7 linked regions of the Xenopus tropicalis genome follow. The protein of the gene in region 6 interacts with the protein of the main gene of each other region in a pairwise test. Links are inferred from orthologs where the notes say so. Each region holds a gene or a part of one and is shown on either strand. Other genes may lie near its edges.

Region 1 (3,500 bases), on a different chromosome or scaffold from region 6:
CATTCTCTCTTCACTCTGCAACAAAGATCTTCTCTATTTTTAAGATACATAGACTACAACTCATTGCCCATATATATTATAGTTCTGGATTTTCTAGCGTTTTACTGCAAAATAACCCACTAAAAGAAACCTGTGTTGGGAACACCTGCTCTGTAGTTGTAGTTCTCTTGAAACGAAGATACATTTCCTGTCTGTAAGCAATAAGAAATGCTTTTTTTCCTGCATGCATATAGAGGAAGCATCAGCAAACCACATCAAAGCTTATGAAGAGTTGCTAAAACTAGTTATCTTACCGTCAGAATTTCCCTTCTTACTAATTATTTTGAATTCATTATTTTTAAAGTTTCTAACCAGTTCCTTCTATGTCATAGTCTATAAGCCAAATTGTGTGTGCAATTTGGCTTATAGAGGTGTATGAATATGGTGGAAAATTCAACAAATCTATCTCTACTGTTATTTTGTCTTAAATTGTACCCCTTTTGTGTATTCCTTCTAATTTTACTCCAAAAATACTATCTCCACTTTTGTGAAATGCACCCCAGTAACAATGAGAAGCGAGCAAGAACCACTTGCACTATGAATACTTTTATCTTTATTGATATAGCACATGCATGTTCCACAGCACTTACAGATATACATCATTCACATCAGTACTTCCCAGAGTGAAGCATACAATCTAAGGTCTCTATCACATTCACACATGCTATGATGAATTCTATTAGGACTCAGCTATTAGGACTCACACTACTATTTCAACATTTTCAACTTATTTCAACATTCAGGAAGCAAAGCACCATGGCATTCTACACCATGGTATTCTACTGTTGGATCCATTTTTCTTTCAGTGATTTGAAACTGGACCTTTGTATGCATTTTTATGTGTTTTTGTTATGCAGCACTATTTTGTAATTTAAAGTAATATATAGGAATGCGCTTTAAATAAAATTGAAAATAATAAATTAACAGTGCCATTAAAATCTTAATCTAAATCATCCATTCCAAAAAGTTTATATTCATCTTTTTAAATTCATATGAAGCTGAACTTAAATCTTTGAAACAATAAATATACTTCAGGGGCACTGTGGGTGCACAACCATTTCTAATGAAAAAAGCAGAAACAGCCCAGTCTAGAAATGGAGATCCAATGATGGCATGCTGTACCATGGGACACCCATGTGCCACCCTGCTGTAGGCAGTGCTACTTAAAGCAGGCGATGCTGCACATAACAGAGGTATAGGATAAATTATCTGAAAACCCTTTATCCAGAAAGATCTGAATAACAGAAAGGCCATATCCCACAGCGTCCATTATAATCAAATAAAGGTTTTCAAAATGATTTCCTTTTTCTCTGTAATAATAAAACAGAACCTTGTACATGATCCCAATTAAGATATAAGAAGTCCTTATTGGGTTTATTTAATGTCAAAATATTTTTTTAATAGACTTATAGTACAGAGATCCAAATTAAGCATGAAAATCCAAATTATGGAAAGATCTTTCTCCATCCGGTACACCCTAGGTCCCAAGCATTCTGGACAATAGTTTCCATACCTGTACTTGTGGCATTACACAGCGTATTACAGAGATTATACAGCATTCAAGTCAGAGTGTCACACAGCAGGAAACATCTAAACTGGTGGTTCCCAAGGAAAAGTTTATCTCTGGCCACAAATATTTATTCTTCATTTTGACCAATATGACCATATTTTTTAGGGCACCAAAGCAGTAAATAAACAAGCAACCATAGTTCTTTTTAACCAACAAATCAGAATAACCCTGTTTCAGAATTCCCATGGTTTATCAAACAGAATCTACCTTGAATGACTTTTCAGATGTCTGTAAGAGTGTTCGAAACAACTCCTGCAAGGAGCACAATTTCTTTTTCAGTTTCCTCTCTCTATGGAGAGCTTCCTGCAGAAGTCAGAAAAATAAGTGACATTAATATCAGATATAATGTACCCCCTTAATGTAAAATAATGTATTTTCTGTGGACGTATAAATGCATGAGGCCTAAGCTGAGTGCTCCTGTAGAGGTTATGAGGCTCTAAGTTAACTTCTAAATTCCTCATTTACATGGTCAGTAACCTGTATTAAAGAAGCCTGTTGCCTTGTGTCTTTATATGGTTATTTAGTGAAATTTCTCTAAGTCACACAAAAATTATAAATGCTGCTGATGATAAATAACACTGTCATTTTTTATGCAAAGGTGATACTTAGTCCTTGCGGTTGGCTGTAAGGGCTCACATATACCTCATACACTTGAACAGTGCCCCAGCAACTCTCACAAATAATTTTTGTTTCCGTTTGCCTGAGGGATGCTCCCTATCCACCCCAGAGAGAGGGTGGTGTCAATGTGCCTTCCTACCACTCCCTGTCATCTCCCTAATGCTTTACACATAGAAAGGCAGATCTTGCAGGTGGGCAGAATTTTGAATGGGTTGATGATAGAGACATCCGGAGGACTACTGTGGCCATACTAGGATGAGTGGTACTGTACTAAGCACTGCTGTCAGGGGGGCTTTATACTTTTCTACATAGGGCCCTCTTCTGATTGTGTCTGCCCTTTAATATGTGAATTTAAAAAAAAAACAGGGATGCACCAAATCCAGGATTCATTTAGGGATTCGGCCAAGATTCATCTTTTTTAGCAGGATTTGGATTCAGATTCTTGCTGGGCTGATTCTGAATCCTTAAATTCTCTAGACTTTTTGTCACAAACACGGAAGCGAAAAAGTTTTCACCGCACACTTTGCGGGCAGTTCTATCTGACCCCTCCATGGCCTAATTTGGATATGCAAATTAGGATTCAAATTCGGTTCAGCATTTGCCCAAATCTTTCACAAAGGATCTGTGGTTTAACCAGATCCCAAAATAATGGATTTGGTGCATCCCTAGAAAAAAAAGAGATTAGAAATTGCACAATATAATTGCTAAACTTTATCATGCTTACCACAAGGTATTCAGAAAGTTCCAACAACTCCTGAAAAATAAAACATTTCACAAATTATACATGTAAATGCAAAGTCTACTATGAACATATAAACTAGAACAACAGATATTTGTATGCACGCAACCAAAAGGAAAACAGAGAGAACATTTCCCCCCAGGCTCCTATATTTATGAGTTTTTCCAGTGTTTTTAGAAGCATTACCCCCTGAGTTTAGTATATATTCTCACTGAATTTTTGGAAGGACTGCAGTGTATTCAGGCAACCACGAAACATTAAAAAAATTATTCATCCACAACATTACTACATTACATTACTATTGTTGTGTCTGTAATTCATGTGCCAGAGACACGCAGCTCTCTGCTCTCTCCTGCTCCCCCCCCCTCAAGAATACTAAGAACTCACTCCCCCCCCCTTAGGAATGTGGATCTGAGCCTATCAGCAGGAAGCTGACTCATGGGGGAGATTTACTAATCCACGAACGGTCCGAATGTGTTTTTCGCAATGATCGCTATTTTTGCGACTTTTTCGTATGTTCCGCAACTTTTTCGT
Region 2 (3,500 bases), on a different chromosome or scaffold from region 6:
ATTTTAAATTTAAATCATTCATATTCAAAAATTCCACAAATTGTGAAAAAGCTAAATCAGTACCCCTCCATACAAAAAGGAGGTCATCCACAAACCTCCTATATAACACCACGTGCTGTAATAAAGGTGCCTCACCACCAAAGATGCGGGATTCCTCCCACCAACCCATGTACAGGTTGGCATAGGTGGGCGCAAATTTAGCACCCATTGAGGTCCCGCATCTCTGGAGGTAAAAGACACCCTCAGATTTAAAAAAATTGTGCGTCAATAAATATAAAACAGCATCCAAAATGAAGTCCTTAAGAACGCTATCATATGAACTATAATTATCCAAGTGGTAAGAGAGAGCCTGCAAACCTTTGTCATGGGGGATGCAGGAGTAAAGAGAAGTGACATCTATCGTGCCCCAAGAAAAACCATCCTGCCACTCAAAATCACCTAAAGTCTGCAAAATATGTTTTGTGTCACGAACATATGAAGTCAAACGTAACACTAAAGGCTGCAACAAAATGTCTATAAATTCAGATAGTCTTTCATTTAGGGACATGATCCCCGAAGTCGGAGTTCCCCTTTAAACATTGTGTATTGTGCTTTGTTTCTTGGCTGGTTTCAGGCTGCTGTCTGGGCATGCCCCTTTCAAGCAAGATGAACTAAGATTATTTTTTTTTTCATATTTTTGGATGTATTAAATGAGGGAAAAACAGCACGTCAAAAGGAATGCAAATATTCTTTAAGGGTGTGGGACATTATCTGCTCACAGTGTGCCTTCCTTGGATACCTACATGTGTGGGTGCAAAATAACACACTTATGCAAAACTCTAAGGAAAAAATGTGGGATTCACAGCACTGTTCTAAAAAATATCTTAATTCCATTTTCTAAAGTGTGCACGGCAAAAAAACCTTTTGCTTACTCCAAGAAATTAGAATATGTGGGCCCCTTTAGTGACTGACCCCCATTGCCTTTGTTAATACTGTATGTCTTAACATTCCCTGTCCGTTTTAGTACCATAACACCATTGCTTTCTAATTTTAGTTTTCATTTAGCATATTTCCCAGAATTTCAGCCTAGTTGTTGCTATACAATTTTCTAAGCTAAGTTTGCATAGAAATATTTGTATTTATTTATATGTAGTGAACTGTAGTTTCCATGTCTTAGCTGCCATCAAACCACAATATCTTCTATTTTTATAAAAGCAAGTTAAATTTATATCCCTGATTCGGCTATACATTACAATTAGTTCCTGGTTAATTACATATTGCACTAATCTTGACCCATTCATCCACTGGAATGTGACCACCGCTGTTTATTTACTTTTTTCACACATAATAAGCACATGAATGTTTCTTTGTTTCTTACGCTGCTTATATATAAATATATATTTGCTATTTTTCTATGATCATTTTGCAACTTGTGTATGTTTGTTACTGGTACAGGAATAACGTTCAGTTTGCAATTCTATTCCTAAGCTAAACATCCTATTCCCAAATTCTGTTAACAATACATATGAAATAGTGTACCTGTGTTTGGGCAACAGACCCTTATTAAATGACTATTATACTGATCAGATAATTGGTTAAAAGTTTGTTTGTAAAAGCCAAGCAAGGATTCTAGTTTTGCATAATATCTGAAGGGAAATGTTGCGCTAACATTTTTAAAAGATATATCAACAAAGCATCAGATAAATAATGTTCTGGCCTGATTAACATCAAAATATATGATATGCTAAATATTTATGAAAACATAAAAATTAAAGTAAACTTCACCAATGGTTACAATGTATTTTTAAAAGTTATCTTTTTAGTTTCTAAGCAGGGCTGTTCTACCCAGTTATACCTGTTCTTGAGAGTACTGTTAAATTTAAATATTTAAATGTTTGCTATTTCTTGTTGCATAGGTTAATGTTGGAAAGATGGACTCACCTATTGAGAAGTGGAACCTAATTATTGGTAACTTAGCTTTAAAGCAGGTAATTATTAGAAATTTACATTTTAAGCATTGTAGGTCACATGGGGTCCCCATTGCTCAGTATGGGAGCAAAATTAAAAAAAAATCAGCCGTATATAAATAAAGTTTTTGGTTTTTTTTTTTTACTGTAAGTTTGTGGATGTTGAAAACAATGTTAAGGCTTTGATTTTTGAGCAAATAAGGTAACCAGCACTATTCTAAACGTTATTCAGCAAGGTGTGATTTGCTTAATTCATTTATTAATATGAGTTTAAACAATACGTGTGAGAGCTATAAATTGTTGCTCGTAACTGGCATGACGTTGCTATAGCAAGTATTCTTCAATTTTTCATGCTTGATAGCTGGAACATGCTGTGCTAGCAGCATCTATAGACGAGAATTTATTGTTGTTCATCAGGACAATCAAGTATTAAATAAATAATATAAATTACATATTGCCATATACAATTCAGAATAGAGCTAGGTAAAATACAGTAAAAAAAAAAAAAAAGCTGTGTAGTTTTAAGTTTTATATTGATCATGATATTCCTTAAAGCAGTGATCCCCAACCAGTGGCTCCTGAGCAACATGTTGCTCACCAACCCCTTGAATGTTGCTCTCAGTGCCCCCAAACCAGGTAGTTATTTTTGAATTCCTGACTTGGAGGCAAGTTTTGGTTGAATTAAAACAAGATATATACTACCAAATAAAGCTCCTGTAAGCTGATAGGGTGCATAGAGGCTGCCTAATAGCCAATCACAGCCCTTATTTGGCTCCTCCATGAACTTTTATGGTGCTTGTGTTGCTCTCCAAGTCTTTTTACATTTGACTGTGGCTCACGAGTAAGAAAGGTTGGGGACCCCTGCCTTAAAGGATTGAGACTGAAAATTGATATTATGTATGTAGAACAGTCATGCTTGTATTACAAATTTGATAAATTATGTTGATTTTCCTGAAATCAAGTTAAACAGAAATACATTTATTATTACTTTATCAAGTGAAAACTTTAATAATACTGTTGTGTCTTCTAGGTACAAGCAACAGTAGTTGGCTTTTTAGCAGCTGTGGCTGCTGTTATATTGGGCTGGATCCCAGAGGGCAAATACCAGTTAGATCATGCAGTCCTTCTGTGCTCCAGTAGTGTAGCTACAGCTTTTATTGCATCTCTTCTGCAAGGTATGATCATTTATTCAATACCACATTCATATTTTCTGTCAGAGTCTCTGAATTGCAGTTAGGTTTCTAGTATGTTCTTTTCCAAGCTGGTAAGAATAATTTCTGTTTCTCATCTGTGATTTGGCATTTATGTAGAAAGCTTGATAAATATTTACTATATAAATAATAAATAGACAGAATTTGTATATGTTAACATATTCTAGGTCATTTATTTACAATTGCATTTAAGAAATTAAAATAAGTTATATGGAACAGGGGATTGTAAACAGGTCACCTAATTTTTAGTTCAGAAGCAGAGATAAATCAGATCCATGATTTTGGAATTCAGTCACATTTGAAATGCTTCACAAAAAATATTGCCAAAATTAATAACGCATAT
Region 3 (4,185 bases), on a different chromosome or scaffold from region 6:
AGTGGGTCAGACCAGTAGCTGCCAAACTCTATGCTCTACTCAAAGATCCAAACTTTGACCAGCTCCCCCCACTTTAAGGTCCAACCACTGTTCAGCACCCTCTTAAAGGTCCAACCTTTGACCTGCCCCCACTGAAGGCCAAACCAATGACCTGCCCCCACTGAAGGCCAAACCAATGACCTGCCCCCACTGAAGGCCAAACCAATGACCTGCCCCCACTGGAGGTCCAACCTATGGCCAGCCCCCTATGAAGGTCCAACCTATGGCCAGCCCCCTATGAAGGTCCAACCCATGGCCAGGCCCCACTTGAAAGTCAAACCATTGAGCAACCCCCCTTGAAGGGCCAAGCCTATGACCAGCCCCCCCCCCCATAAGGGTCCAAGCTTTAAACAGGCCCCCCATGAAGGTCCAACCTTTGACCAGGGCCCCCCATTTAAGTCCAACCTTTGACCAGGGTGGTCAGGGCCCCTTAGCTCATAAAATTAGTAGAAATTTGGGGCTTTGGGAAGTGGGCTCTGGGCAGCTGTGGGCTGTCCAGTATTAATGATCTAAATATTTACTAGTTCACCTTATACTGTGACATATATATTGAGTATATACAGTGTATTGTGAGTGGGCCCCTAAGCTCATGTAAGTGACAGCAGCCCAGAGCCCCAGGTCTCCCATGCCTTGGGTCCAACACATAATGTGCAACAGTTCTTGCCCACTTTTTGAGTTAAGCTTTAGTTCTCCTTTAATAGCATCTGCCTATCATTGCTTTTATTCCTTCCCCGCTGAGGGGCACCTGGGGGCTCCTTCCCCTACTTCCTGCCTGCAAGTGTGCAGATACCCCGATGCCCCCGCCTTCCTTTATTTCCATGGCGCTGAGTGTTATTGGGCAACAGAAACCTTGCGCTCAGTCAGGGAAAGAGAAGAAGTAAAGGGGAAGTTAGAATGTTGCAGCTCAGACAGGAAGTGTTTGTACATAGAGGTTAGGAAAGCGCAGCAGGGCCCCATCACAGTGCGAATTATTCCTCTCACGGGGCCACACTAACGTTACAGTGCTGCCAGCTCCCCTACACACAATCTGTCCTACTGTATGGGCAGTACCCAGACATTCCTCTACCCCCTTCTGCAGGAACCCCTCTGTACCCCATAACTTTCCTATACCCCCTTCTCTAGGAACCCCTCTGTACCCCATAACTTTCCTGTACCTCCTTCTCTAGGAACCCCTCTGTACCCCCTTCTGCAGGAACCCCTCTGTACCCCATAACTTTCCTATACCCCCTTCTCTAGGAACCCCTCTGTACCCCATAACTTTCCTGTACCTCCTTCTCTAGGAACCCCTCTGTACCCCCTTCTGCAGGAACCCCTCTGTACCCCATAACTTTCCTGTACCTCCTTCTGCAGGAACCCCTCTGTACCCCATAACTTTCCTATACTCCCCTCTGCAGGAACCCCTCTGTACCCCATAACTTTCCTATACCCCCTTCTCTAGGAACCCCTCTGTACCCCATAACTTTCCTGTACCTCCTTCTGCAGGAACCCCTCTGTACCCCATAACTTTCCTATACTCCCCTCTGCAGGAACCCCTCTGTACCCCATAACTTTCCTATACCCCCTTCTCTAGGAACCCCTCTGTACCCCATAACTTTCCTGTACCTCCTTCTGCAGGAACCCCTCTGTACCCCATAACTTTCCTGTACCTCCTTCTCTAGGAACCCCTCTGTACCCCATAACTTTCCTATACTCCCTTCTGCAGGAACCCCTCTGTACCCCATAACTTTCCTGTACCTCCTTCTCTAGGAACCCCTCTGTACCCCATAACTTTCCTATACTCCCTTCTGCAGGAACCCATCTGTACCCCATAACTTTCCTGTACTCCCCTTCTCTAGAAATGGATCAGTACCACTGGACTATCATGTACTCCCCATTAGCAGGATGTAGCAAGAAGTTCCCTATCCTTCATCAGGAACTGATCTGTACCCCCAGAGCTCCCTGTATCCCCAGAGCTCCCTGTACCCCCAGAGCTCCCTGTACCCCCAGAGCTCCCTGTACCCCCAGAGTTCCCTGTACCCCCAGAGCTCCCTGTACCCCCAGAGTTCCCTGTACCCCCAGAGTTCCCTGTACCCCAGAGCTCCCTGTACCCCAGAGCTCCCTGTACCCAGCTCCTGTACCCCAGAGCTCCCTTACCCCAGAGCTCCCTGTACCCACAGAGCTCCCTGTACCCACAGAGTTCCCTGTACCCACAGAGTTCCCTGTACCCCCAGAGCTCCCTGTACCCCCAGAGCTCCCTGTACCCCAGAGCTCCCTGTACCCCCAGAGCTCCCTGTACCCCCAGAGCTCCCTGTACCCCCAGAGTTCCCTGTACCCCCAGAGTTCCCTGTACCCCCAGAGTTCCCTGTACCCCCAGAGTTCCCTGTACCCACAAAGTTCCCTGTACCCCAGAGTTCCCTGTACCCCAGTGCTCCCTGTACCCCCAGAGTTCCCTGTACCCCCAGAGCTCCCTGTACCCCTCTGCTGAGGAAGCTGATCTGTCTCCAAGGAAGTGGGGGGCATTGATGGGACCCCCTTTTACAGGAATTCAGAGTTAGCCCACAAGTGCTGGAGCAATACCCTGGGGTTTCCCATAAAGCCCTGCTCTCTGCTTGTGTCCGGACTTGTAGAATCAGAAAGACCCTCCTTAAGACCATGAAGTACCCACCACCCAGCCCAGAGCCCTGGAACACAAGACAACAGAGTGGCTCTAAACAGCCCTATACAGAGAGCAGGCCAGCTGGCCAGACATGACTTACCTATCTGTGTGCTCCCAGCTCTACTCTCTGACCCGCTTGCTTGGAAGGAACTGCGCTTCCTGCCCAGTCAGTCTGGGCCGCGGTGCATGCTGGGACGCTGGACACATCGCATAGACGCTGTGCTTCCTTATCTCAGCACCAGAGGGCGCCCCTTGGTAACGATATCCTGCAACAGCGACACAGGCAGTCTGTAAGGATCATGTGATCACGTGGTCCTGTTGTGTAACGTGGGAAAGGCGGAAGTCGAACTGCCATAGGTCCCGGTAGGTAAGCCCGCCCACTCCTAGCTGTGATTGGCCAGGTGACGAGTCCGTCGCCAAAGGTGGGCAGGTACCTTAACAAAGGCCAGGGTGACAGAAGGAGAGAGTGTGGCCTGGGTGCTTCCTGGGATCTGGGGCCACTTGTTCCTCAGGTACCCCCCCCCTCTCTGGCCCCTCCCAGTCTGGGGCAAAAGCCAGAGGCACAGGGGGAGCCCCACAGCGAACATGAAGTGTGAAAACTGCACCAAAACGGTATGTCTGGGTTATGGGGGGGGGATGTTTTTACTGGTATTATTGTATTGTCTGTGAGTTTGCATCAGGCTTTTATAGCAAGGGCCCCTCCAGATGTTGTTGAACTGCTACTCCCACCCCCCCCCCTACAGTACAATGCTGGGAGCTGTAGTTCAGCCACATCTGGAGCTTTCCCCTCAAATGCAACTGTACTATCTGCTGTTAGGGCTTTTGCTGTTTTATATTCCCTGTGTCTGTGTCCAGGCAGCCCTCCAGCTGTGGTTAGAGGGGATTATGGGAGATGTAGTTCCATAGCAGCTGTGGCCTGGATATAATGCCAGTAAACAAGGCAGACAGTTAAAGGCAAAGCTGAGCCTTGTGATAGGAGGTTAATGAATAATAAGCCAGGAGACAGAAGGGAAAACTGCTTGTCTGGGGGTTTGGGGAGGTAGTCGGGGCATGGAAGCGCCTCCCGTTGGAGGTGGGAAGACTGTGACCCAAACATGGACACCCATGACCATCACAAGGGGCTCCTTTCACTTCCTCATAGGGGATCATTAACTCTTTATTGGACACGTAGGAGCTGCAGTACATTGGGGTGCCCCAGTCAGACCTGAGGCAGCCCCGGCACGCAATGGGTTAACGTGAGACAAAGGGGGACATGGCCTGTCACTCACAGACCCACCGGAACCTGTGCCAATTAGGAACTCACACAAGGACTGTTAATACTGCAGGCTGAGGATCTCTTACCTGGAGACCTGATATCCAGAAAGCTCCGTTCTGTATCTTCTCACAGTTTCCCTTTTCTCTGTAATAATAACACAGATCCAAACTAAGCTGGTGAATCCGTATCGGGGGGCAAAACAATCCCATTGGGTTTATGTGGCTGCTGGGGGGACACTAAGCCTAAGAAGCTTATG
Region 4 (4,195 bases), on a different chromosome or scaffold from region 6:
CATATAAAGAAAGAATTTGAATTAAAAGGGAAGCAGCAACATCATTCAAATGATACAGGTACGTTTTGGGGTGTCACTAATGAAAGGCCTTATTATATTTCCCCCATTCCTATAGTTCCCAATGTGTCAAATTGGTGATTGTGTGACCCGGTCCCCACAGCAGGATACCTGGCTGCATTCTCTTCTCACCTGATCTGCTTCTACTGAGATGCTGGAAGCGGTTTTGTTAAAGACGTGATCCCACCAGTGGAAGGTGAACTGCTCAGCAGAGTTATGTCCCACCTAAGGGTATTAAACACAGTAGGAAAGAAATGTTACAGGATTTGCCCCCTTTATGTGACTCGTAGTACCGTGCCCCATCGAGCTGAATAGTTTGTATGTATTATTTTCCATGCCACCTCCTGATTAAGGGGCGTCAGGTTCACTTTAATGGCTATAGGGAATGCAGTATAAAAACAATACACGGGAGCACTTACCGCTTAAGCCCAGGTGTGCTACTCGCTGACCCCAGATAGGTCCCAGCAGTAGAAATACAAAGAAAAAAGTAGCAGAGCACCACAAGGGTAAAAATAAAAACCAGTCTTTATTCAATTTATATTGCTGGAGTTGCTCTGTACTACAAGTCTTTAGGGGTTATGTAATAAAAAGTATTAAGTTTGCACAGGAGCAGTAACCCATAGTAACCAATCAGTAAGTAAAATTTTCTAGTCACCCATTAAAAGGCAAAGTTCTTATTGGTTGCTATGGGTTATTGCCCCTAGACAAACTTAGTGCCTTTTATTACTTATAGGGGGTTGTCCCTTTGACCAATCATGGGCATGCAGGATACATCTCAACCCCAACATTACATTGTTACTCACTAAATGGCTGATAAATACATGATATAAAGTACAACTCCCATCATCCTCGGCCAAAGTCTACACTCTAGGGACAACCTGAAATGCTCCTGCTTCTGATTGCTGGCCTCGCTTACCCCGGCGTGGTCACATTTCACTTTTACTTTGATTGCTTCGGAAATACCATTTTCCCGTCTCCCAAGGCCTTTACCTAGAAGGGAAATAGGGTGAATGTTAAACACGGTTAATAAAGTATATAAAAATAATATTAATAAAGCTTTCCAATCACTTTCCAATAGCCATTCATACTGTTCTCAGGCTACAGAAGGCATCCCTAAGGAATACATTGCTTGAAGCCAGACCCTCGTGTCTGCAGTAGCACAGAACCCAAGACAGGTTAATGTAATATAAGGAGCAACGTTTGCTACAGTTCTTATTACCCATTGCAGCCAATCAGCAGGTAGCATTTACCGGTTATCTTTTTAAAAGCAAACATCTTATTGGTTGCGATGGGTTACTTCCCCTGGGCAAACTTTTCATTTAGGGGTTTGTGCTCCCCAGCCAAACCCCCTATATGTAATAAAATGCACATTGTGAATTAGCGAGTACCTTCAGTCCAGCCATGCTTGTGCATCTGTTGTTCAGCAAACCTCCTGCCCTGGCTCTTTTCCCCAGAAGAGGCACTCATTCTCTTGCTGCTGGAAAACAAATAGACAGATGTGGGTTAATCACAAATGAGAGGCAAAGCTTTGTCTTAAGCTGGTGCACCCATGTGCCTGTTTAATCATCTCTCAACTATAAGAGGGTGTGTATATAACTATATATGGTCACAGAACCCCTCCGTGACTGCTAATATCCTTATCATTTACAGTAGGGGGTACATTATCCCTTATAATACATGAGTGATACTCAGAGTTCCCTGTATAACTCAGCCTGCAGCCTTGTGCCTTTATATGGGCACAGAACCCCTCAGTGACTGCTAATATCCTTATCATTTACAGTAGGGGGTACATTATCCCTTATAATACATGAGTGATACTCCGAGTTCCCTGTATAACTCAGCCTGCAGCCTTGTGCCTTTATATGGGGGGCACAGAACCCCTCAGTGACTGCTAATATCCTTATCATTTACAGTAGGGGGGTACATTATCCCTTATAATACATGAGTGATACTCAGAGTTCCCTGTATAACTCAGCCTGCAGCCTTGTGCCTTTATATGGGCACAGAACCCCTCAGTGACTGCTAATATCCTTATCATTTACAGTAGGGGGTACATTATCCCTTATAATACATGAGTGATACTCAGAGTTCCCTGTATAACTCAGCCTGCAGCCTTGTGCCTTTATATGGGCACAGAACCCCTCAGTGACTGCTAATATCCTTATCATTTACAGTAGGGGGTACATTATCCCTTATAATACATGAGTGATACTCAGAGTTCCCTGTATAACTCAGCCTGCAGCCTTGTGCCTTTATATGGGGGGCAAAGAACCCCTCAGTGACTGCTAATATCCTTATCATTTACAGTACCCCTCAGTGCACCAACCTTACTGTGCAACTTATTAGTTCCTCTATAAACTCCCTGTATTTGGATACATACAATTTTCTCCCTTATGGGGCACTTATATACTATATACATAAGAGCTTTCTTGCAGTATCACACAGGATAAGAGAATGCTACTGCTCTGAGCGCAAAAAGAACACCATCTATACCTGCCAGCGCTGTGACACTGACCACAGAGAGAAAGTAGCGCATATAAAATACCTGAGCCGACGAGTCACTGCGATTATGATGGTTAATTAGAAGTAAGGATCACTTGGGCAGAAATCAGGAACAAAAATGTTAAAAAAACAAAGATAAAATTCCCTCTCATCATCAGCTGATCATAGAACACATGCCCGGCTTTCAGGGCAGCGCCATCTTGCAGGAAAAAGGGAAGTACGCGGAGGAATAGACGCTCTGCACTGATTGCTAAAGACTCTGTGGTAGTGGGAGGTCCAACATGAGCTTTGCCCAATAGAAATGCTGAGGAGAAGTTCTCTCGGTGCTGATGGACAGAATACAAGGTGAATAGAATCCTCTGACAGATTATGAGGGTGTTAGTTGCTATAGGAAATAGTTGGGGCGCAGCACAGGCAGAATGGGAAATGCTGGCATAACACCTGGTAGAATTTGATGGTTTATTTTTTCTGAAATATTGACTTACAGAATTACTAATTCCACTTTATTATCATCCTTAACCAACAAAAGCAACGTAATGGCTCCCTGTGTACAAGAAACAATATTAGGCCTTTGGGCCAGTAGGGTTTCCTGGCCAATAACAGCTTTGTGGCCAATATCTCCCCAGTACAAATTACTTTCCTGGCCAATGAGAGCTTTGTGGCCAATATCTGCCCAGTACAAATTACTTTCCTGGCCAATGACAGCATTGCAGCCAATATCTGCCCAGTACAAATTACTTTCCTGGCCAATGACAGCATTGCAGCCAATATCTGCCCAGTACAAATTACTTTCCTGGCCAATGACAGCATTGCAGCCAATATCTGCCCAGTACAAATTACTTTCCTGGCCAATGACAGCATTGCAGCCAATATCTGCCCAGTACAAATTAGTTTCCTGGCCAATGACAGCATTGCAGCCAATATCTGCCCAGTACAAATTACTTTCCTGGCCAATGACAGCATTGCAGCCAATATCTCCCCAGTACAAATTAGTTTCCTGGCCAATGACAGCATAGCAGCCACTATCTGCCCAGTACAAATTACTTTCCTGGCCAATGACATCATTGCAGCCAATATCTCCCCAGTACAAATTACTTTCCTGGCCAATGACAGCATTGCAGCCAATATCTCCCCAGTACAAATTAGTTTCCTGGCCAATGACAGCATAGCAGCCACTATCTGCCCAGTACAAATTACTTTCCTGGCCAATGACAGCATTGCAGCCAATATCTGCCCAGTACAAATTAGTTTCCTGGCCAATGACAGCATTGCAGCCAATATCTGCCCAGTACAAATTACTTTCCTGGCCAATTACAGCATTGCAGCCAATATCTCCCCAGTACAAATTACTTTCCTGGCCAATAACAGCATTGCAGCCAATATCTGCCCAGTACAAATTACTTTCCTGGCCAATAACAGCATTGCAGCCAATATCTGCCCAGTACAAATTACTTTCCTGGCCAATAACAGCATTGCAGCCAATATCTGCCCAGTACAAATTACTTTCCTGGCCAATGACAGCTTTGTGGCCAATATCTGCCCAGTACAAATTACTTTCCTGGCCAATGACAGCTTTGTGGCCAATATCTCCCCAGTACAGATTACTTTCCTGGCCAATGACAGCATTGCAGCCAAT
Region 5 (4,242 bases), on a different chromosome or scaffold from region 6:
CTTTCTCTGGCTGACTGCTTTAGACTTCTGTGACTGTGCACTGTCCATCAGGTCTTTTAGACCTTACACTGGTACTTTGTGCCTATGCAGGTGGGGTACAATCAGGGATTACCAAATGGGAGCCTATTACTTTGTGGCACAAGAAGTGAATTATGTTGTAATGTAGGACTTCCATGGTCATTACTGTCACTTGGCTCTGATTCTTCCAGCAAAGCACTGGGGGCTGGCATTCTAGCGTTAATTAGAGGCTGTCCTTCTTCACCTTCACCTATATTATTCCTGCCTATCACAGGATCGCCAATCTGAAGCTGAGCAAAGGAGTTCTCCAATGAAGAAGTAACATCAGAATGTGAAAGGGCATGACTTGCAGTTGTACTGAGGGATGTGTGCAGCCTTGTTGGTAACACAGGTGTAGGTTGACTTGAAGAAGCTCCAAGTGCTGCCATGTTGTCCGCACCATCTGCTGAGCTCTCTCGCGCTAGATTTACATTTGCTGCATCACATTCAAGCCTTAGCCCAGCAACTCCTTTTTTTGGTATATCTACAATATCTCTCTTGATTTTTCTACGCCGTCCATGCTCATTACGCCTGTATTGAACCATGTTCTCCAAGTCTGCTACATAGAGGAAGCCAGCTATCAACATCTCTGTGCTCTTTTTGCCTTTTGTGAAGGCATCTTCAAGCTCTCTGCTTGTCCGCTCATCATACTGCCACCAACCATTTCTTCCCTCATAATACCATGCATATTCTCCATTTCCCCTACTTGCAGATTTCAGTTCCTCAGGTGACAGTAATGTAGGCTTATCAAGAAAGTCCTCAGGAATCTCTTGTCTGCACAAAGCACAACGCCTTCCAAGCCAAGAAGCCCCCTTCACACACAAGTAGCAGAATATGTGTTTACAAGGTAGACTAACTGGATGCACACAGGTCTGCAGGCATATAGCACATTCAGGAACAGACAATGAAGGAGCACTGTTGGGACAAGGCTCAACCAGTTTCTTATTAGTGGGCAGCATGTTAGCAGAGTGGCTAACTTCACCACAACCAGCCATCCTGTTGGTAAAAAAATTAAAAGGTTTTATGAGGTTGATTAGAGAAACTGAAAACCAGTCTATGATAAACAATTGAATTGTTCCAGTTTAAAAACGGATGAACAGAAGAAAAACTGGCAGCATAGGTGTTATTATTGTTTACAGATCTTTATTTCAGTTCCATTTCTCAGGTGCTATATCCAGATGAGAAATAGAACCTCGATTTTATGTTTTCCTGGAATTGATACCATTTTTTCCATGTTAAACCATTTGCGCCACTTTGACAGTCCCTTGGAAGACATAAAGTTAGAGTTCTATTGTTATTGAACAGGAGAAAAAGTTCAGCAGGGCTTTTCAGAAGCCAGCCAGCCACCCACTGGAAATTTATATACTTAGGATATTTTATGGAATCTCTCTCAGAAACAGCTGCAATACACCCCAAAGTAACTGCTGTGCCCTGAAACTTAAATTCCTTAAACTAGCAGTAGATCATAGTAGATGAATGGGAACTCAAAAAGCATCTTTTCAAGTTAGCCTTTTTGGGGGAGCTTTATTAAAGTATTTTAATTGAATGAAAAAAAAAAATGTGATTTGTGTGTGTGTTTGGTAGAGGTGAGGGGGGTTAAAGGAATACTGTCATGAGAAAACATGTTTTTTTCAAAACGCATCAGTTAACGGGGTTTCTCCAGCAGAATCCTGCATTGAAATCACTTTTTCAAAAAAAGATTTTTTTATATTTAATTTTGAAATTTCACATGGTTCTATCCATATTCTTCATTTCCCAGGGTGCTACAGCAATGTGACCTGTGCTCTGATAAACTTCAGTCACACTTTACTGCTGAGCTGCAAGCTGGAGTGATATCACCCCCCCCCCCAGCAGCCGATCAGCAGAACAATGGGAAGGCAGCAAGATAGCAGCTGCCAGTATATATCAGAATAGCACTCAATAGTAAGAAATCTACGTCCGGCTTGGGACTCCTCCAGTTACATGGGAGTAGGTTATCTGAAAGCAGTTCTAATGTGTAGCACTGGGTCTTTCTGAAAGCTCAGAATCAGGCACAATGCACTAAGATGGCTGCCTATACACCAATATTACAACTAAAAAAAGATACATTTGTTGGTTCAAGAATACAATTTTAAATGGTGAATTGAATTATATTTTATGTAAACAGTGTAATTTGGTAATAAAAAGTACAACATAAAATTCATGACAGTATCCCTTTAACTAGATGCAGATGAGACATGATTATTTGGAACACAATTTAATACAGTATAGAATGTTTCTTCTTGACATGAAGCCCATGTTCAATTTTCCGTATTGCAAAAAGTCAAGGTTTAATACAGTATATACTCTATAAAGTAATAAAAAGAAGAGAGCATTTGAGCTGTATAAAGCAGCTGTGGTTTCGCCCCTCTCTTTAGCACTATATGGGGAAAATGATACGTTCACTTGTTTAATTGAAATATTTAAGAAGCTCAGTGTCTTAAGATCGCTCTAAAGGCTCACCCCTTTTGGAAAGCGCTGTACATACAATAAAACATGCATTTTTTATGAGGCCTTAGGTATTTGTGCCAGACACCCTACAGTGAAGAAATGCAAGCTTCTGAGAAATCACAATACACTCGGCCTAAATTCAATGGGAATGAGAACTTCGAATAAATAATTTAGAAGTAAAAGCGCAACCTGACATACCGCCCAACAGTCCCGCTTCTCGCGGGACGCTCTCGATATTTTTAACACAGCCCGCAGAACCAGATTGCCGTTTAATCGTCCAACAACGCCATTAATATCCAGCTCCTTGGCTCCTGCCGGAAAGCTAATCCCGACGTCAAAATTGTCATCTCGCGAGACTGTGGCGTCACTACCACACGTATATAAGCGCAGTGACGCGGCACGTAGAGGGGTGACAACTTACTTCCTTGTTTCACAATTATAAGGCGCTAGTAATACAAGGAAGCGTGTTTGCAAACGTTTGCTTCACAGCTAGTAGTTTTCGCAGTTATAGAAAGAAAGAGTCATTTCGTGGTGGTAGCCTACTATGCATGCTGCCTATATTTAGGCACAACTAAGTATTTGTTTTTTCTTATTAGAACTTACACTTGTGTCAGTGAACAAACCCTATTTGCTGGGTTGACAAATGATTTTATTCTTTTCACGGCTTCTGTTTTATTTTTTAGGTGGATATTGTGTTGCAAAGTCTTTGTTTTACCTAAAACGGTTTTTTTTGGCTCTGCTTTAATGAACCTGGTAACAAAGAAAAATAATTTCTTATCAAACATGCTGCCATCAGTGCCTCTTCAATTTGACTAGCAATGAAAGGGTCTTTTTTTTTTTTTTTTTTTTAAACTAGGGCCAGGTGAAGGTCCCAATGTTTTGTTTTTTTTTTGTTTAGTTTTTTTTTAAGTAAGGGCAACAATTACAATTTAGGGACAAAACTGGTTATTTAGGAGAAGACATTGGGTGAAATAGAGCAGCAGTAATCTTTACGTTTTAGGCTCATTTGTTCACGGTGGTGTCAGTTTTCCAGGTTTTATTTTTTCGTAAACTAATGCAAGACTTTTCACAAGTTTTTAGGCTTTTTTTTTTTTTTTACATAAGAGGATCCTGTGGCCATTTTTTGAATTGCCAACAGTAATCTTTAGTTTATATTTTTACAATTTAGTGACAACAGTGACATTCAGAAGACTTAAAATATCCTAAAGTAATCTTTTACTCTGGTCCTAACTCCAAAGTGCACAGGTTCTACAGTGGCTTGCAAAAGTATTCGGCCCCCTTGAACATTTCCACATTTTGTCACATTACAGCCACAAACATGAATCAGTTTTATTGGAATTCCACGTGAAAGACCAATACAAAGTGGTGTACACGTGAGAAGTGGAACGAAAATCATACATGATTCCAAACATTTTTTACAAATAAATAAGTGCAAAGTGGGGTGTGCGTAATTATTCAGCCCCCTTTGGTCTGAGTGCAGTCAGTTGCCCATAGACATTGCCTGATGAGTGCTAATGACTAAATAGAGTGCACCTGTGTGTAATCTAATGTCAGTACAAATACAGCTGCTCTGTGACGGCCTCAGAGGTTGTCTAAAAGAATATTGGGAGCAACAACACCATAAAGTCCAAAGAACACACCAGACAGGTCAGGGATAAAGTTATTGAGAAATTTAAAGCAGGCTTAGGCTACAAAAAGATTTCCAAAGCCTTGAAC
Region 6 (3,500 bases):
ACCTGTGTGTATTATTATTGAGTTAGAGAGGGTCCAGAGAAGGGCAACTAAGCTGGTAAAGGGTATGGAAAGTCTCAGTTATGAAGAAAGACTGGCCAAGTTGGGTCTGTTTACACTGGAGAAGAGGCGCTTAAGAGGTGACATGATAACTATGTATAAATATATAAGAGGATCATATAATAACCTTTCTAATGTTTTATTTACCAGTAGGTCCTTCCAACGAACACGAGGGCACCCACTCCGTTTAGAAGAAGGGAGGTTCCATTTAAATATTCGGAAAGGATTTTTTACAGTGAGAGCTGTGAAGTTGTGGAATTCCCTCCCCAAATCAGTCGTGCTGGCTGATACATTATATAGCTTTAAGAAAGGGGTGGATGGATTCTTAGCAAGTGAGGGAATACAGGGTTATGGGAGATAGCTCTTAGTACAAGTTGATCCAGGGACTGGTCCGATTGCCATTATGGAGTCAGGAAGGAATTTTTTCCCCTCTGCGGCAAATTAGAGAGGCTTCAGATGGGGTTTTGCCTTCCTCTAGATCAACTAGTAGTTAGGCAGGTTATATATAGGCATTATGGTTGAACTTGATGGACGTATGTCTTTTTTCAACCCAACTTACTATGTTACTATGTATAACAGACAGCCTTGGGTTAGAATACAGAGTACTGACCCAGCAGTATAGGGGTAGTGATGGGTATGTTTACAGCCATAAGGCTGATGTATCTCCAGTTTTGTAGTGTACCTGTAGCCTAATTTTCATATGGATTGAAATAGAGGATATATAATGTACAAAGGAAAATCTAAATTAGAAATATATTAATCACAAGTGCTTTTTTTACTTACCACATGGTAAAGATGAGCCTTTCTCGGATTTTATATTTTCCACTGTTTCAGTAATATCACTGCATATATAGAAATTATTAAAATGGACAGTAAAATCTTAGGGTCCTATTTACACTGTATGTAAAAAGAAATATAAGACTGCACATCATGTCACTATACTGTAAAACTGCAATATTTAAAGGAGAAGGAAAGGTGAAAACTAAGTAAGCTTTATCAGAAAGGTCTATGTAAATACAGCCATAAGCACTCAGAGTCCTCTATCAAAAAAAGCACAGGATTTGTCTCCTTTTTTGTAAAGATGTTCTTCAGTATCAGACTTCCTCTCTCAGAAAAAGTCTGTGGAACGCTCTCCTCTGTCCCTTTTCCTGCTTCCCCCTCCCATAAGAATTCACTCCCCCTCCCATCAGAATGTGTGATCTATGCTATCAGAAGCAGAAAGCTACCAAGACCTAAAATGGCAACTGCTATCTTAAACAAATGGAGGGAGCTTCTAGGGCTGTTTACTCAGGTATGGTAAAGCTTTTTGCAAAATAAATATAGCGTTCTATCTTGCACTATTGTGACTAATCTATTAGCAAAATGACTTTCCTTCACCTTTAATAGCTTAAAAAGATGTCAAGCACCTGCACAGGTCTGGACTGTGGTTCAAAATAGGCCATGGCATTTTAAGTACACAGAGGCCCAAACAGTCCCACAAAGGTTTAAAAAACAGTGGTTGTCTATGGTGCCTTACAGAAGCGCCTCTGGCATTTACCGGAATGCAATGATTGTCAGTCCAGCAGGCCTAGCATTGGATCAAAAATAGGCCCTGGCATTTCAAGTACACAGGGGCCAAAACAGCCACCCACCAGCCCAATAGTCTATGGCATCTTACAGCTGCCCCTCTGGATCCAGAATCCACAGATTGCCAGGGCGCCAGGCAGGTACTTCCTGCTTACCCCTAGTCCGAGCTCCCTTGTCATTGCCTCTGCTGCTTCTCATTGCATGGCTCACGCCCCCCTGCAACACCATATATAATGCATGCGCAGATGCAAGGAGGGGGGAAGGGTGCAGGGCCAAGGGGCCGACCAATTTGTCTAGGGCCTGGTTGGCTTAGGCCGCCCCTAATACGCAATGCCATTTGTATGCTGCAAAGTTGTAAAGGTTTCTCGGATTGGACTCTGCAGCAAGTACACGTGCATTCTCTTGAACGTAAATAAAGCTTCACCATCTGGCAGGTTTAGTAAAGGAGGAATAATGGTCTGGGGTTCTTTGCCATGGCTTTCAACTTTCACAATTTGACTGGCCTGTACAGAGCCCTGACCTTAACCCAACTGAACCCTGTGGGATGAATTGGTCTGCCAACCAACAGGGACCAAAGATTATATGGCCAAATTTATACTTACATTCTCTAAACGCATGAGCCGACATACCTGTCACTGCAGCAGCTGGCAATCCACTCACTCATGACTTTACGGAAGGTTGGCAAATCTAGGGACCTTCCCTGCTCTTCAGGATCCAGCATCTTACAAAGGTGCTGGAGTCGGTCTCCATCACAAGGTTGATCTGTTACGCTCTTCAAGTAGTCAATGATCTGAAACACTGTTACTTCTCCTAGAGGCAAATTTAGTCATATTATGGTAGTTTAGCAGTGGAATTTAACAGCAAAACTGCAGATTTTTGTTACCTATGCACAATGTGGGCAGTTCCTTAGTAAACACAATAATATGTTTAGCTGCAGTAAGGCGGACATCAGTCTGAATGACAATGCAAGTTAAAGAGCTTAACGACTCGGTAGTAGCGTTTTATAAAAACTAGTGAATGAGCCGCAATTCCACTGATTTTCTTATGAGTAGTAACTGTCCTTACTGCTGCTTAAAAACATAATTGACATAATAATTCTGCCCCGCTGTTTTCCTTTAGTTGGGAAGTATTACACCCTATTATATTACTCATGAGGCGCTCTTTTACATCAGCAAGAGTTTCTTACCTCTCCCCTCTGTATCACATGCTTCAAATGCGGTATCCAGCAACTGCTCTTCTGATGTAGAATTAGGAACACCATTAAGACAGCCCTGAGTAGCATCTGAGACGTAAAGGCACAGCAAATTATTTCTATACATACACGTACATTTAACGTTTTTAATGGGTTTTAAAGATGTTTGTAAATGTATTTCAAACTGAAAGCAGCATTTGTTTCTCCCTTTCCACTCTGATGCATGAAACAATGTAGTCAGAAGTGTAGAGAATATAAAAAGCCATCCACAAGTGGGGGTACAGCCACTTTAATTTCCATTAAAAGCACATACATATCTAATAATACATTAAAAACATACTTTTGCTGTCTGATAGCTGCCCTTCTTCTGATTCAGGATTCCAGCAGGTTCCTTGCAGTTTATACATTATACAAGCCCTTTGCTGAAAGCTTAGGGTATATTAGTTCTTCCTCTTGAGGCAGGACCTCAAAGAAATCTGCAGATGTATTCCTGGAGAGTGCTAGCTCTGAAAGAGCAAACATTCCTATGAAATTACAAGTTAAAATAAAACTATACCCCCAGAATGTATACTTAACCAACAGAGAGTTTATATTATGTTAAGTGGCCTAATAAACAATCTCGTCAAACTGGAATATATACTGTATATCAGTAAATACTGCCCTTTTACATCCCTTGAGCCGCCAT
Region 7 (3,500 bases), on a different chromosome or scaffold from region 6:
ACAAATAGTAGTGTTGTCTATTTACCTATCCATTCATCCACAGAGCCAAAGCTACTGTGCATAACAAAGGCAAATCCAGTCAGCAGCAAAAGTGTGTCTGCATTATTGCAAGTGTCACCCTTTTTTTTTTTAGAATTTTAATCTTTTTGTTTCAGCTATAAACAGTACTGACAGTCTTGCAATTAGTATATATTTATGATAAGCAACTGATAAGGAATACATTTTCTGTGTGCAGATTTAACCACAGGCCCCCCTGACTTGGATGGATTCTGCTCTCAAGCTAGCCTTGGTTACTACTTTTCTGGCCTTGCAGACAGAGCCACCTGTTTGGCTGTAAGCAGTTCCTTGTTTTCTTAACTGTGAACACATATCTCTATGCGCTTACACTGGTAAACTGGTAGCTCAAATGTATTTTTTATGTTGTATTCTACTATGCCACAAAATTTATAAAATACAGTGCTGTCTTTGGTCTGTTGTTCTGACCCTTAGCTTTGCTCAGAACCCACATACGTGTCAAATAAACCTTACCTTCTTCTACCCCAAATGACCTTCAGTATTTGAATTTTCCATAACACTACCATCAAATACACTGCACTAATTTATTACACAGAAAATCATTGAAAATGTAGAATAAAGAATTGCTTGTTGAAATATGATAACATAAAGGCGTTTTTCAACATTTAATATGTGATTTTATTCCAAAAAAGAAGTTGTATTGCTGTTTATAAACCAAATACATTTACAGTCAATGGAGTATTTACAAGCAAGGGAACTACAGTATAACAAGTTATCATCCTTCAGCTGTCAGCGGGTAGAGGGTAGTTCAACATTTGCAGAGACTCAAGTGGGTTTTTCTAGTCATTCATCTAACCTATACAAAATCAATCCACTGCAATATAGCTCCCAAGGCTACACTTCTCAAAAAAAATTTAACATCCTTTTTATTTGAATCTGTAGCAAACAGGTCAGGGAGCCTGACAAAAACTTCCTAACACCTTTATAATGTGCAGAAAGGGAAAACTCACCTCTATTCTTGGTTTCTTTGCCTCAGCGGATATTTCATCTGCAACTCTCTTTACTACAATAAAAACAATTGTTATGAACTCATTTAATTCCCTTGTTGCTAGACATGATGAAGAGCGCTAGGGGGCCATCCTTGCATCCAAGAGAATAAAGATGACATAAATGTTCCTATGCACATACCTTGTGAGGATCTCTGAAGACCAATTTCAAGTGGCGCACTTCTGTCTATACTGGCAGATGATGCTAAAGAAAGCAGAAACGGTTGAGATAAAGTAACTATACTTGAACTAAGATATTAACAAGCAGTCAGTTTGATTATTTCAATACACCGGCAGAAAAAAGGTCAACTCATCACAGTATTTGCTTATTCAAGTTATTACTCAGAATACACAGCATTAAAGGAGAAGAAAAAGAATAAATCACTAGGGGTGCCAAATTTAAGGCACTGGTACCCTAAAGCTGATGCTCCTGTTAGAAAACTGCAGCGGCCTGGGGTACATGCAAGCAAGCGATCCTCTTCTTTCCTCAAAATTCCAGGAAAAAAGAGGATAGCTCTATTTTTTAACTTTAAATTTAAAAATTTAAATAAACTAATTTCCACAAATTTATGACATTTACTTGTGTGGGAAAAAGTTGCAGAAAAATCAGGAAAACGCAACTTTTTTCAAATTGCCACACCGAAACTACTACTTTTTTGAATTGTCACACAAAAAACAGCATCAAAAATCTGAAACCTCTAAAGTTATGAAGCAACAGAAGGAACCTCCAGGGAAGGGGAAGGGACATCTGCCACTGACTTGACTACATGATCTTAGCAAGTTTTAACTGGAAAATTGTCGGATTCAGATTTTTAGCCAGTTTGTTGCACAGTAGATCTCAAAAAAGTTGTAACTTTTAGGGTTAGTAAATGCCCCCTTAATCTGGGTATCCTAAAAGACTGATCACAAAAGTTCACACATTGGCAGTGCACTCCAGGTCAGCATAAAAAAGCCGCAACAGATGATATTAAAGTTGATCAACCTTTATTTGCACATCTAAAAAACACAGCTTGAGGTCTTACGCGTTTCGTGACAGCGCACTTCCTCAGAGACCTCCCTAAAAGACTGATGTCAAGAAAACAAACTCTCCACGCAACAGTACAGCCAAACTAAATGTGCAGTGTTTACTTCACCCATATGCACCTCAAAAAGATAGTGATCCTACAGTTACATAACACATGGTTAGACTGGCATGATGTCTCACAGAAGGGTTCCATATAGACTTTGGGATGCACAGCTGCGAACGGAGTTACAGTGACCTGTGAACTGCTGCAGCACAAGTCCTACTGGAAATCTCCTTTACAAACCACAAGTGGTGGAGGATTAAGCCTGTAGGACCAAGCTGTGGTCCTGGCAATCTCTCTCTATAAAAGCTAAAGGCATGGGGGTGGACTGACTCAAACCAGCCCCCAGGTCAAGAATGGCAACAGTGCACGGGAGTGCCGGCCTTTGAAATATATGACCAGAGGTAAATAGATAGGACCACCATACGGGGTTTACCTTGACGTGGTATGGTGGCTTACCAATCTTATGATCATAATTTTGTAACTAAAAACACGTTTTTTGTAAATACATGCACTAGCATAGATAATTTACTTATGAAAGAGGGGACGAGGGAATGTGCATTGATCAATCCCCCTCTTTTTTGTATGATTGTAGTTAATTTGGCCAGATCAGTCGCACTTCCATTGTATTTGTATACTTTATTTAGCCTTGGAGTGCTCCCACAACCCCCTTCTGTGTATCTACTGGAAATCTACACGTATATTCAAATACAAATATGGTCTATAGAAATGGTCAAGAAACTTGACTTGCATTTGCTATTTTTGTTATGTTAAATAACTTTCATATTGTTAATTTTGTGTTATCACTGGTCCGTTATATTAAAAAAATGATCATTTTATTAATGCAAATGGCACTTACACGTTTCCCCATTTAGGTATGCAAGAAGATCTTTTCTATCAGGTCTTCTAACCACAGGAATGTTTTCAGTCTGCAAAAGGTGAACAGAAAATAGTTAAATTAGATGATGTACACACTTCTCAAAAATATTTTCAGTAAAAAAATTTTTTGGAAAACGAACATTTTGCGACTTTTTCGTAGCCGTTACGACTTGCGCGAATTGTCAAGACTTTTTCATAGCCATTAAAAATTTTGTGAATTGTCGCGACTTTTTCATAGCCATTATGACTTTCGTGAGCTGTCGCGACTTTTTCATAGCCATTACAAATCTCGTGAATTGTCGCGACTTTTTCATAGACATTGTGACTTTCGTGAGCTGTCGCGACTTTTTCATAGCCATTACAAATTTCGTGAATTGTCGCGACTTTTTCATAGCCATTATGACTTTCGTGAATTGTATTCGCTTTTCAGACGTTCGTGGATTAGTAAATGTGCCCCATAGTATAACAGTAAAAAACTTATTTAACTTTTGTTTAT

Evidence for each region.
Region 1: the proteins of ccdc155l (region 6) and TRAF3-interacting JNK-activating modulator interact in binary tests that used the Homo sapiens proteins (3 or more experiments, as listed by UniProt). The two-hybrid records come from large-scale screens. The link is inferred for Xenopus tropicalis from reciprocal best matches to the Homo sapiens genes KASH5 and TRAF3IP3.
Region 2: the proteins of ccdc155l (region 6) and slc41a2 interact in binary tests that used the Homo sapiens proteins (3 or more experiments, as listed by UniProt). The two-hybrid records come from large-scale screens. The link is inferred for Xenopus tropicalis from reciprocal best matches to the Homo sapiens genes KASH5 and SLC41A2.
Region 3: the proteins of ccdc155l (region 6) and cybc1 interact in binary tests that used the Homo sapiens proteins (3 or more experiments, as listed by UniProt). The two-hybrid records come from large-scale screens. The link is inferred for Xenopus tropicalis from reciprocal best matches to the Homo sapiens genes KASH5 and CYBC1.
Region 4: the proteins of ccdc155l (region 6) and gpatch4 interact in binary tests that used the Homo sapiens proteins (3 or more experiments, as listed by UniProt). The two-hybrid records come from large-scale screens. The link is inferred for Xenopus tropicalis from reciprocal best matches to the Homo sapiens genes KASH5 and GPATCH4.
Region 5: the proteins of ccdc155l (region 6) and rnf146 interact in binary tests that used the Homo sapiens proteins (3 or more experiments, as listed by UniProt). The two-hybrid records come from large-scale screens. The link is inferred for Xenopus tropicalis from reciprocal best matches to the Homo sapiens genes KASH5 and RNF146.
Region 7: the proteins of ccdc155l (region 6) and cdc73 interact in binary tests that used the Homo sapiens proteins (3 or more experiments, as listed by UniProt). The two-hybrid records come from large-scale screens. The link is inferred for Xenopus tropicalis from reciprocal best matches to the Homo sapiens genes KASH5 and CDC73.

Annotation. Positions count from the first base shown.
Region 1 is NC_030678.2:50,640,977-50,644,476, forward strand, and holds part of TRAF3-interacting JNK-activating modulator, read right to left. Parts: intron 2,982-3,500; coding exon 2,952-2,981; intron 1,913-2,951; coding exon 1,817-1,912; intron 1-1,816. UniProt on the Homo sapiens protein: Adapter protein that plays essential roles in both innate and adaptive immunity. Plays a crucial role in the regulation of thymocyte development.
Region 2 is NC_030679.2:50,199,933-50,203,432, reverse strand, and holds part of slc41a2 (solute carrier family 41 member 2), read left to right. Parts: intron 1-1,895; coding exon 1,896-1,967; intron 1,968-2,976; coding exon 2,977-3,121; intron 3,122-3,500. UniProt on the Homo sapiens protein: Acts as a plasma-membrane magnesium transporter. Can also mediate the transport of other divalent metal cations in an order of Ba(2+) > Ni(2+) > Co(2+) > Fe(2+) > Mn(2+).
Region 3 is NC_030686.2:46,139,715-46,143,899, reverse strand, and holds the start of cybc1 (cytochrome b-245 chaperone 1 homolog), read right to left. Parts: upstream 2,801-4,185; 5' UTR 2,775-2,800; intron 1-2,774. Other genes in the region: narf (nuclear prelamin A recognition factor), read left to right, coding at 3,260-3,286. UniProt on the Homo sapiens protein: Functions as a chaperone necessary for a stable expression of the CYBA and CYBB subunits of the cytochrome b-245 heterodimer. Controls the phagocyte respiratory burst and is essential for innate immunity.
Region 4 is NC_030684.2:133,213,077-133,217,271, forward strand, and holds the start of gpatch4 (G patch domain-containing protein 4), read right to left. Parts: upstream 2,801-4,195; 5' UTR 2,603-2,800; intron 1,535-2,602; exon of another isoform or gene 1,532-1,534; 5' UTR 1,525-1,531; coding exon 1,446-1,524; intron 1,048-1,445; coding exon 974-1,047; intron 283-973; coding exon 190-282; intron 1-189.
Region 5 is NC_030681.2:67,899,962-67,904,203, reverse strand, and holds the start of rnf146 (E3 ubiquitin-protein ligase rnf146), read right to left. Parts: upstream 2,801-4,242; 5' UTR 2,725-2,800; intron 1,054-2,724; 5' UTR 1,053-1,053; coding exon 102-1,052; 3' UTR 1-101. UniProt on the Homo sapiens protein: E3 ubiquitin-protein ligase that specifically binds poly-ADP-ribosylated (PARsylated) proteins and mediates their ubiquitination and subsequent degradation. May regulate many important biological processes, such as cell survival and DNA damage response.
Region 6 is NC_030683.2:112,407,440-112,410,939, reverse strand, and holds part of ccdc155l (lymphoid-restricted membrane protein), read right to left. Parts: intron 3,322-3,500; 5' UTR 3,223-3,321; coding exon 3,156-3,222; intron 2,906-3,155; coding exon 2,810-2,905; intron 2,434-2,809; coding exon 2,253-2,433; intron 900-2,252; coding exon 841-899; intron 1-840. UniProt on the Homo sapiens protein: As a component of the LINC (LInker of Nucleoskeleton and Cytoskeleton) complex, involved in the connection between the nuclear lamina and the cytoskeleton.
Region 7 is NC_030680.2:113,572,843-113,576,342, forward strand, and holds part of cdc73 (parafibromin), read right to left. Parts: intron 3,055-3,500; coding exon 2,985-3,054; intron 1,267-2,984; coding exon 1,204-1,266; intron 1,079-1,203; coding exon 1,026-1,078; intron 1-1,025.